2 linked regions of the Arabidopsis thaliana genome follow. The protein of the gene in region 2 interacts with the protein of the main gene of each other region in a biochemical or structural test. Each region holds a gene or a part of one and is shown on either strand. Other genes may lie near its edges. The genes, in order: AT1G32530 and XRI1.

The links.
Region 1: the proteins of XRI1 (region 2) and AT1G32530 form a complex in vitro, tested with the Arabidopsis thaliana proteins (one study listed by BioGRID).

What each region holds. Positions count from the first base shown.
Region 1 is NC_003070.9:11,758,693-11,764,318, forward strand, and holds AT1G32530 (RING/U-box superfamily protein), read right to left. Parts: upstream 3,944-5,626; 5' UTR 3,849-3,943; intron 3,709-3,848; 5' UTR 3,695-3,708; coding exon 2,075-3,694; intron 1,490-2,074; coding exon 974-1,489; 3' UTR 735-973; downstream 1-734. Other genes in the region: AT1G32520 (TLDc domain protein), read right to left, coding at 1-250, 382-580.
Region 2 is NC_003076.8:19,757,200-19,762,731, reverse strand, and holds XRI1 (x-ray induced transcript 1), read right to left. Parts: upstream 3,852-5,532; 5' UTR 3,662-3,851; intron 3,614-3,661; exon of another isoform or gene 3,536-3,613; 5' UTR 3,500-3,535; coding exon 3,477-3,499; intron 3,460-3,476; exon of another isoform or gene 3,038-3,459; intron 2,866-3,037; coding exon 2,807-2,865; intron 2,715-2,806; coding exon 2,592-2,714; intron 2,504-2,591; coding exon 2,367-2,503; intron 2,022-2,366; coding exon 1,958-2,021; intron 1,881-1,957; coding exon 1,778-1,880; intron 1,691-1,777; coding exon 1,653-1,690; intron 1,572-1,652; coding exon 1,488-1,571; intron 1,383-1,487; coding exon 1,111-1,382; 3' UTR 717-1,110; downstream 1-716. UniProt on the Arabidopsis thaliana protein: Required for mitotic division of the generative cell nucleus and the development of mature tricellular pollen grains, and for male and female meiosis.

The sequences.
Region 1 (5,626 bases), on a different chromosome or scaffold from region 2:
CTTCCTCCAACCTTAGGAAGGACGATTGGGTCATCACAATCCTCGAGCCAATAGAAGAGGAAAGCATCAAATGTATCGTAATAATCATCAGTACTTCTATATCCTTCCGGACTAAATCCACCAAACTTGAAAGACTTGTCTTTAGTGTAAGCTATGATAACACATGGACCTTTGAAGTCACAACGCTCGTGGAACTTTGTTGCACCAAACCCATCAATGCTTGCCTTGTAGCAACATTTTAACTCTCTTCCTAATAAAAAAGATTGTTATATAGTTGAAGAACTTTAGATAAGAAATATACTTATTCCTAGTGGTAGAATATATAAGTCCACATGTTGCTACAAGGACTTAGATTGAGAAGAAGGGAATAAATTTATTTACCTTTTAGGAAGGTTTTGTTTACCATTGAAAGAGAGAAAGGAATTTCGACATCGTCGTGGTAAGCCGGTTGTTGCGGCGGCCGGATATTGTCTATTTTCTTACCGGAGTTCCAACCGAATAGACTGTTGTAAGGACTTATTCTCTTCAAGGTCTTGAAGGTTACAGTATGAAATGAGTTTGAGATGGCACACGAAGCCATTTTCTTGCAAGTAACGGCCACACAACAAAACCCACAAGAAGAAAAGTAGACAAAGCATCAATAATTGTGGTTTTCAAGAACTTGTGGTTGTCATTGTTTTGCTAACAAGTGTCCAATCCGGTTTAACCAAACAAAACCAAAAACAAACCAAACGATAGTTGATTTTTATTTGGTAAAAACTAGAGAGGCATGTTTCCTCCAAATCGAATTCATCAAGATAATCACGATAATAAGTTATTTTACATCGTGCAAAGATCTTTCATCGAAAAAAATCAAATTTCCTGAGTGTAAAAAGCTCTGAGGAAGAAGCTAAACATATTATTTGTACTTACAAAGTAAAACCTGAAGTTGTGGTGATCTCTCTGAAACCCAAAGAGAAGCTTATTTCTGCTTTTATGAGGTTGCTCCAAAGATACGGATTCGCTGCTGAACCAAACCTCGGCAACAAGGACAAGTGACTTTGCTTCCGCCGTTGTTGCTCGCGAAGAAGCTATCACTGCAACTACCACACACAACTTGATGCGCACAAGGAAGAAACACCACAGAGACTTCATCTTTCATACAGATTATGCATTCTCGATCATAGTTTGCTTCATTGTCATAAGACCCTTCAAGCTTATCAATTTCTTCAAGCAGCTTAGCAATGTTTTCTCCTTGAGATTTTTTGGGTTTCCAAGCGTTGTTGGATATGTGGCTTGAGTCACTATCTGAAGAGGCTTTGAGTCGACCGAGTTCTTGCTCCAGTCTTTGGTGATCGTCTTTGTGTCTTTGGAAGTCTAGTTCAATTTTGAGTCGTAAAGTCTCAAGCTTTCTCTTGTTGTGACCCTCAGCTGCTTCTTTTGAGCGTTGTTCTTCCTCCATTTGAGCCAGAGCCTCCTCTTTTGCCTTCTGCTCTTGCCTCCATTTCGCCTGCAAATAACATATGAACAGGTAAATATAAAAAGAAGTTGATAGACTAACCATCATTCCATGTTTAATTGAGGTAAAGTAAATTGATATTTCAATTATCAGTCATCAACCACAGTCCAAGTAAGCAAATCTAGAGCAAGGTTTTGAACACAATGTGCAGCAACATAGATAACGTACCCGCAAGGCGCAAACAGGTAAAACGTCAGGAACGAAAAGAAAATATAGACCACCATGTAGAGAGAAAAGCTATCCAGTGGAACATATCAATAGGTATAGCAAATCATTTGGCTTCTACAACTCGAGACGGATTCTCCAAGATTATATTCATATCAAATCCAGGTTCCATCTACCCTAGCAAAATATGTGGCAGACACAGACTATACCTCTTGAATGATCTTTGAAGTCTTATGGCATACTACCATCTAAGACAGAACCAACTTCGCAACTAGATGTGTGCCTCAAATGATAACGTACGTAAATATTTTGAATCCTAAGTAAATGTACTTCCCACAATTCTAGAGTTAAAAGTATAGAGGATCTAGAGAACTTTCACAGTATAAATGAATATAATATGAACCAACGTACCTCAATCTCCTTTTCATACTCTGTGATTTGAGCTAAAGTCTTATATAGGGCCTTAATCTTTTCTTTTTCAGCTGTAATCTCATCCTGCAACTTCAATATCTGTTTCTCCCATGCCACAAGCTTCTTCAAGCATTTTTTCTCCTTCTTTGATGCTTCCATGCACGCTTTAAGCGATTCTGATGCACTTAATTTGGATCCCTCCCGCTCTGCTCGAATCTCTGCATTTTGATTCTCAAGCTTTCTTACAATTACATTGGCCCTGTCATTTTGACTGCAAGCTTTTCTGAGTTCAATTTCCTTGTCAGTAAATCTTTTCGCAGTTGATTCTTCAACAGCCTGTTTCCCCTTTTTCAGCAGTTGGATTCCTTCTCTTTCACTACTCAATGTTTTAAGCTCAGCTAATTCCTCGCTGACCTTTTGTGCGGCTTGCATTGCGTTCTTCTGAGCCCACTCTTTCCTTTCCTTTACTTTCTTCTCGAAATCCTTAACCTGATGAAGCAGATCGACTATCACACAATCCTTATCATCCACACCCACCGATTCCAGATTATCATCAAGGTTCAGATCACGAAATTTCTCCAACACCGTACTAACACTTTCTTCACTCCCTGACTTACGTGGTTGCTGCCCACAACTCTTCACAATTGCAGGATCATTACAAGCTTTGCTATCACCAATAGTATCAGACGACTGTATTTGCTTCTGCTTCATACTAGCACGATACCCAGCAGCAAACGCTGCAACATTCCGCTTCAACAAGGACTTCATGGATGGCGAAAGATTAAACCTTTTAGGACAATCAATCTCTCTCTGCAACTTCAACTCAGCACCTTTCATAGAAAACCCATTACCAGAAAACTCAGGTCCTCCCCCATTCCCAAAACCCCAACCTCCATGGAATCGACACAACGCTGGTGCCATAAAACCAGCAATATCTAGAGTACCACCCGTACCAACATCTTCTACATTGCTATCTTCCTTAGTACAACAACTAGACCTATTCGTTGGGACATCCAGAGTACTTGCCCTACCAACATGGAGCTCACTCATTAACAAACACCACATTGCATCACCTTTACTCAAATTAGGCTTAACTTGTTGCAACAAGTAAATCATACCCGCAAGCGAATACTCCTCCAAATCTCTCAAATCCGTAAAACCAGTCTCCGTTCGATCCTCACCGTTCCCATTACTCCCACCTCCACCTCCACCACTATTCAAATAAGATAATGAATTATTCACTATATTAGTCAACACATCCAATTCACCATAACAGTGTCCATTACTCAAAACCGCTTTCAACGCAACACGTTCCTCATAGCCCAATTCAAGAAGCTTAGAAACAGCTTGATTATACAAAAACTCCAAATGTTTCAGCAAAATCTCTTCCAAATGCTCCTCTGTACAATATGCCCAAAAATTCTCCTCAGGATTCTCAGTAACGGAATTCAAATTGACAGAACCGGAATCAGTAAGACCAGGATGATAAACAAGGTTCTCAACAATTGATTGTGACATAGCAATCTTCTCGACCCAACATAACGGTGGGTCGGATCTAAATGCAGCGGCTTTGATCCTACGGGTCGGTTTCACGTGCTTCTCCCTCACAGTACAACCCATGCCAAAATCTGAAACTGAAAGAGAGATTGAAAAACAGAGAGACGATAAAAATGAAAACTTTACCAACCAAAAAACATGGGTTTGAAGAAATGGAATTAATTTATTGAATAAATAATGATTCGATGATAGAGACGGAGGAATACGAAGAACTTACTGATCGGTGGTGGTGGCTGAATTTTCTCGGCTAAGAGAAGATGAGAGTTTCGGCGAAAAGGTTATGCGAGAGAGAGAGAGAGAGAGAGAAACTTTGTTTCGGTTTCTTCCATTTCTGGCGGCGCCAGAGAATATATTTATGGGCTTTGAGCCCATTACTTGACTGAACTTATTTGGGCCCATATATCCGAATTCAAACCGACAGCGTTTTATTATAGGTATGGGTTAAAATCCGATCTGTTTGTTTGGTTTCGGTTATATAGAATGTGAAAACAGATTAGTTTGGTTCAGTTTGATTATGGTTTTGATTCGGTTTGGTTTTAGTTAGGAAATTAACTTTATATTATATAAATATAATGTTTGAACTAATAATATTTTAATATAGTTATACTAACATCTATTGTATTAATAAATTAAAATGTACATTATGATTATATTTATCTCAATTAGTTTAGTCCGATCGACTGGTTACATTAAACTCGGTTTCAAATTCTTATTCTTTTTATAAAACCAATTGGTTAAGAAGCAAATTTTGTTTTTGGTATAAACATTTATTTCAGTTTGGTTTACAGTTTTGTGATCCCTTCGATGCTTATCTATTCTAGAAACCCTAATCTATAACTTCTTAGATTTTGGCAAAGCAATGGACACATATATATAACTTCTTGCTTTTTGAAATTTCTTAGATTTTGGATTTTGGTGATATTCGCTTATATGTTTGGATGCCCAGTGGTACGTAAATGTTGTTCCTTTGGGTAATTAACCAATGTCCATCAGTCCATGCATCTGCGTTTTGGATGTAGAGTTTTTTTTTTGCTATAAAGCTTTTTTTATGTAGAGTTGGGATACCATTGGCATTAATAAACAAATAGTGTGCTAATTCCAGTTGTAATTATATACATTCTCTATAGCTTGTGTTACATCGTCTATAGAATTTACCACATTCTCATATAAGAAAAAACGAATGGAAACAAAAGAGGTTTTTGTATGCATCTTCTTAAGCTGAGCCATCATAGTTTGAAGTAAGACGTGGACAACTCCATAGCCGCACTTTAATGGCTATCCAAGCGTCTCTAGAGACGTCAATGTCCAAAATGTTCTTACATGACTCTTTCCTTTGTCCTTTTATTCTTTCTCTCCCATTCCTCCAAATCCCACACACATACATGCACATACATATACACGCATACGTTACGTAGATGCATACATACATGTATTGGCTTAGTGGTCATGATGGAACGAGATTGAGAAACTCAACTCTGTTTGCTTGCTTCTGGAAGGCATCTTCTGTTGAAGTGTCTTTTACAATTTCTTTAGACAAGATGTTTGGATTTTAAAACCCTTTTAACAAAAAAATAAATAAATAAAAATAAAGATATTTGGATTTTGCATTGTGACCTCAAATCTCTTTGTTCCCTAAGAACTTCGACCATTTTGTCAAATCGACATACCCATATTGCCTCCTTTTGAATCAGAGCATTTGTTCATGATGGTATGAATGGCATAGTGTTTCTTTTTGTATTCATAGCATTCGTCAAACTTTCACATTTTTATTCCGCTAAATCCATTACATGCTAGCCTCTATTCAAATAACATGGGTAGTAAAATTTAAATGTTAGTAGCCTCTATTCAAATCAGTTTTTTTTTTACATTTTAGTAATCTATTAAAATCAAGTTTTTAACGTATCATATTGAATATTCTGAATAAATAAATAAAAAATATATATTCTGAATAAATTATATTCATTTCAAACGTTTTTGATGTTTCATCACTTTATA
Region 2 (5,532 bases):
GTGACTATAACTTCTTTTTAGCCGAAAATGGATCTGATGCCAATAAATAGCTGAAGTTAGAGAAGAAAAGATAGAGCAAATGTGAGCAGAATTTTTTTTTACTCTGGCGTAAAAGTTTACTTAAATTTTTATGAAGTAAAATTTTACTCTGCTTTATTATGTTTTAGCTATAATTTTCTCTTTCCTATGTTTTGCTGATTAGATGAATAAAAACTGAAACAAGCTGAACTGAGTAAAATTTTAATTTTCTGCTCACTTTTTTGCTCTAGCGTGTATAAATCCAATGAGAACCAAAGAGTAGAAAGAAAAAAAAAATACTTTACCCTTCATTTGTCTGTAGTAAAAGTTTTAACCCTCAAATCCTCCAACAATGGGATAGTCAATAAGTCATAACCAGAGTCAAAAGAAAGGATCATATAAATTCATCATATAATTGATAATTGTTTAAAGTATATATTGATTTGACCATAATCGAACGTGATTGATATTGACTGATGATATGCGTCATGCTTGATTGATCTCAGTAATATCCTTTGGATTGACTGATGATAAACGTGATTGATAGCGAAGATCTCTAGACTCTAGGGGATTTGCTTAAGCGTCAATTTAGGAGAACATATTTTAAAATCCCTGAACATACTAAAACCTCAACTATTTTGATATTTTCAAAGCATACATTATAAACTTATATTTACTTTTAAGTTTGTTTTTAATCTCTCTTCTTGACCATGAAACGCAACGTTTCACTGCAATGTAATGGATAACAAAACTTGCTTATACTTTGTATAGCAGTCCAACCAGAGAGAGAGACAAGTTTCAGGTAACATTGAGAACCAGGGACTTTATACAAACAAAAATATCTACCACATGGCTAACAGATCTTTAAAGTTTTCTTTCATACTACAGATACAAAAACGAGACAAGAACATGATTCATAATAAGATCTTGAAGAGTTTTTAGCCGCTGTACCGATAAAAAGGCCCTTGACTGGAACTATATCCGATAAAAAGGATTTAAGGGCCTCTGAGAATAAGGCAAAAAGTTTAAAAGTTTTCTGCAGTGAATTTTTAAAACCTTCTATCAGCTTATTACTACTTACTTAACTTAGCTTTAGCCTCTAGTCCTCATTATCGTGATGCTTCCTTTTCCTCCTTCGGTGCGGATTTTAGTCTTTCCAACAACGGGTTTCCCTGAGAATGCTGAAGTTTGGATCACTGCAGGCTCTTCTATGTGTGCCTTTGGTTTTGCTGGTGGATTTCGGATTTTCTGGTTTATGTCCTTGAGAGTCATTCCACCGTGAACCCCACATGGTTTGATGAATGCAAATGGATAGATGATTGAAGATGGTAGCTTTGAAACTGGCCTTGAAAACGATTTCCTACCTGCTATTACCAATTAACATTACAATAATGTTTTGTTTTCTCATTTTCGTCGTGAAATAGGTGTGTATGAGACTCATTTGAGACTAAACCATTTTATTATTTTACCTTTAAAGATAACATTTGGAGAAGATCGAGTCACAGGCCGCTGAACTTCCCTAGTCTCTGTTTCTGGTGGCACATTCAAATACTCTGCATCAAACACAAGGATGTTAGCAAGAGAAGCCAGAGCTAGGACAGGCTAAGGAAGAGATGAAAACAAAGATATCTAACCTGAAATATCTACTTGAACATCAGGTGAACCAAAGTTTCTGAGAAAAACAACAATAGTAACCAGTTAATGAAGCAAAATGATGCTACTAAACATAACATAAGCAAAAAGAAAGGTTGAAACATACAAGTCATCAGGTAGCATTGGAGTCTCAGCATCATTTAAGCAATCAGCATACCACTCTTCAGCGTACAGATCAAGGCCCTCGAAGCTAGAGGCAGAAGCGTCTTCTGAAAAAGAGACAGTGTTTTGTTTAAATGGAAAACACATTGGCACGACTGACTCGGAAGAATTATAAGAGCCCAACCTGAAAACCCTTCTATAAGCTGAGACCCTTCGGGTAAAAGCTCATCAAATGTGTCATCTCTAGCCTGAACATGCATAAAGAATCATCAATCAAAGCATTAAAGATAGCATCAGAACCTCATACAACCTCCTAAGCTATCCAATGTTACTTCGATAATAAGATCACAACTGAATTAGGTAGCCAGATACTAAGAAAGTAAGAGGCTTGAATTTGTTCTAGGAGTAGAAGTAAAAAGTCTATGAAACAAAACAGAATCCCATTTGCAAACGTTTGAAAGGAACATGCATTCACATTGCAGTCCATATGCAGTGTGATAATCAATAAGTGAGCAATCAGTTTGGTTATCTGCAATGCATATGTGGTCATTTGGTGCCTAGCTAGAGACAAGATATGGGTATTGTATACTCACACTTGATTTTAAGATTGCAGAGAAACTCTCACTGCTGAAAAGGGATGTTTCAGGTTGGTCTTCAAACTGCAACATCCGACGCCTTTTTAAAGCAGAGCGTGTCTCACTGTGCACTTCCATTTTCCTGTTCGTGTCCTCTAAAGCCAAAGATTCTTTAGATTAGAAACCATCGTCAACCATACATCAGGAATGGAAATGATCGATCACTTGAAAAAAAAAACCCACCTGTTGTGACATGGTAACCCAACTCGCTACATGCCTTCACAGGAGTATTTTCATCATCAAACATGTACGAGTGATCTTCTTGGTTCAATGTGACTTCAGTCATCGTGCAGTCAGGCACATCCGCTGGAGTTAAGATACCAATTCAATCATGGTTATTACAGTGTTGTAAGAGTTAACTGATTCAATCATGCTCGTCACAGAGATGTAAGACTTACAGAAATGAGACTGAGGTTGGTGATTATAGTTATCCACTTGCCAATTCCATGAGGAGCTACTGCAAAAAATTAACACCAAACATGATCAAACCCATAGTACATTTTACATGATTAGAGACTACTGTTTACTACTTTAAAGCTTTTTGAAGACTGAAGAGTCTCAACGACTCAAAACTAAGCAAATAGAGTAAGCACATTGCATAGTTTCAAGCTCAATCACAACATCCCAACCTGGATTCTGACCATAGAGCACCATTTTGACAAGAGAGGGCTTACGAAACTCGGGATTTAGTAGAAATGATAGAGCATTGACAAGCTAAAATCCAAATCCTAAATGATTGATGAAACATTAAATGACCAAACATTTCTTAACTCACAATTAACATCAAATCCAACATTTCATCTTCGCATTAAAAACACAGAAATCAATCAAAACCTAAAACCCAGTAACCACCACCAAATCTAAGCGAAACCACAACGATTACAGTGAAACCCATACAAGAGAACACACGAATCAGACTAAGAAAGCACAAAAACACACAAAAATCGAAGAATGTACTAATCAATCAAACACACAAATCCAAACGAGAAAACAAAAACCAAGAAACACATCAAAATCAAAAATAAACCAAATCGAGATGAAATAAGCAGCGATAAAGGAGAAATCTACCGATCGTCGTCTCCGTAATCCATCGATCTTCTTCTGTCGTCTACAACTTGTGGGAATAACTAGCCGTTGCCCAGAAAATGAAAACACACACAAATCAACAATAAGAACAAAAAACATGCACGCTCCAAAGACCCACAAAGCAATATATATATATGAATCAGAAAAAGAAGCAGTTTTTGACTGACCTTGTGTGTGTGCTCGAGATATGTGCTTAGTGCTTACTGCTTAACCAAAAAAAAAAACCAGAAAAAAAAAAAGTGTTAAAAGCGGCGAGTTTCTCTCTCTAGGACACTGGTCAATATTTATAGTCTTACTGCATCTCTATTTATGAGGGAAGAGAGAATTGCAAGAGAAGCTTTTTATTTTTATTTTATTAGTGTATATTGAGAAGAAGAAGAAAAAGAAAAGACCATTGCGAAGCACGCTTTCTAGTTTTTTTTTTTTTTGCAAGTTTCAATGTGTCGTGGGTTCCTCTTTTCTCGCGATTTTCTTTACTTAATTGTTGCAATTAATATTACTAATCAATCATCACTTTCTTTTTAATGTAATCTGTTTATTTTTGGATATAACATTATTCGCTTTTAGATTTCATTTCAGTAACTATCACTTAATTCGTGTAAATTGACTCTGTCTACTGTATCGTTGAATTCATAAAGCAAGATAAATCAAATTTTCATAGTCAGTAGTCACTGATAATGTCATAATGATTTTGACTTATCTTTCCAAGACATTTAGAAATGAGTATTTGTTATAAATTATACTTCATTTCCAACCTAATCATATGAGTAGTTAAAATTCTATGAGAGTTTTTTGAATTTTGGCTAATATAGTTAAATCCATCAAATTTAGTATTATTTTGTGAAGACTAATTTTATTCAAATTTTGTTGATTTTATTGTAACTGATAAAGGAATGAACTTATTTTATTCAAATTAGTTTTGTAACTTTTTTTTCTTTATTAAGTAGTGACAAAATTAGTTTACTTGTGTATATGATTCATATGTTGACAAAAAAAAACTTAACGCACAATAAATAAAATATACGTTTCGTTGAACGATAATTGAAAACGTTAAAGTTTCATGATGTTTTAAATAAAAACAACAAAATATAACGCCTATTTTAAAAAAGTAAAAGTCAATAGGCTCACGTTTTAAGCTTATTTGCGGATTTTTCAATGTAAAACTTCTTTTTATATATTAGAGAGTTTGAAATATTATTTTTTAAACCATAAAATAAGAATATACTATCCTGTATTGGATTTTTTTTATGTTATGTGGACACCAAACCTATTCTATTTAATGATTCTTCATTCACCATTTATTATATAGTTGGTAGAACATAACTCTTCTTTCTTTATTTTAATTTATTGTATAGAACTGAACCCAAAAAAAAAAAAAATCTTTTACTAAATAAAAAGTTATTTAGCTAAAATTTATTATGTTTTTTTTGGTTCAGTTCTATATCTTTGGATTGTATTTCTCATTATATAAAGTTATGTAGCTAAAATTACAATATATGAAAATTTTAATAGTTCTTTTATAAACTGTGGGAGTTGATATTTTGAAAGATTTGATGGAATTTACTATTTAGATTTGGAGTGATTTAAGTGATATTTTAGGATATTTTGATTAGATTTGTACATTATGTTTAACAAATGCCAAACCAATCTTATGATTGGTCCAATAATTAGTGTAGGCTAAAAATTGTAATTGTGGCCCAAATCTATCACAGTTTGTTTTGGTCAAATATCATCCCAAGAACTTGAGCGAATTTCTTAGCAATATATGTATTTTAGATTAGCGTCACATTTGGTCTTCAGGCCAACTCTAGCGATATATGGCCACAATTTTCTAAGTTAATTAACAAAAGATGCACATCAAACTAGTTGTTGAAAGAAGTAAAAGCATCATAGATCATGGTAACAATACTATTACGAATACAATCCTCTACAGTGACCCAACAATACATTAATTTCATCTCTATCTTTCATATCAAGCTGCATCAGTATATAGCTCAAAGATTAGATATCAACCAAAAACCATCAGATACTAGGCCAA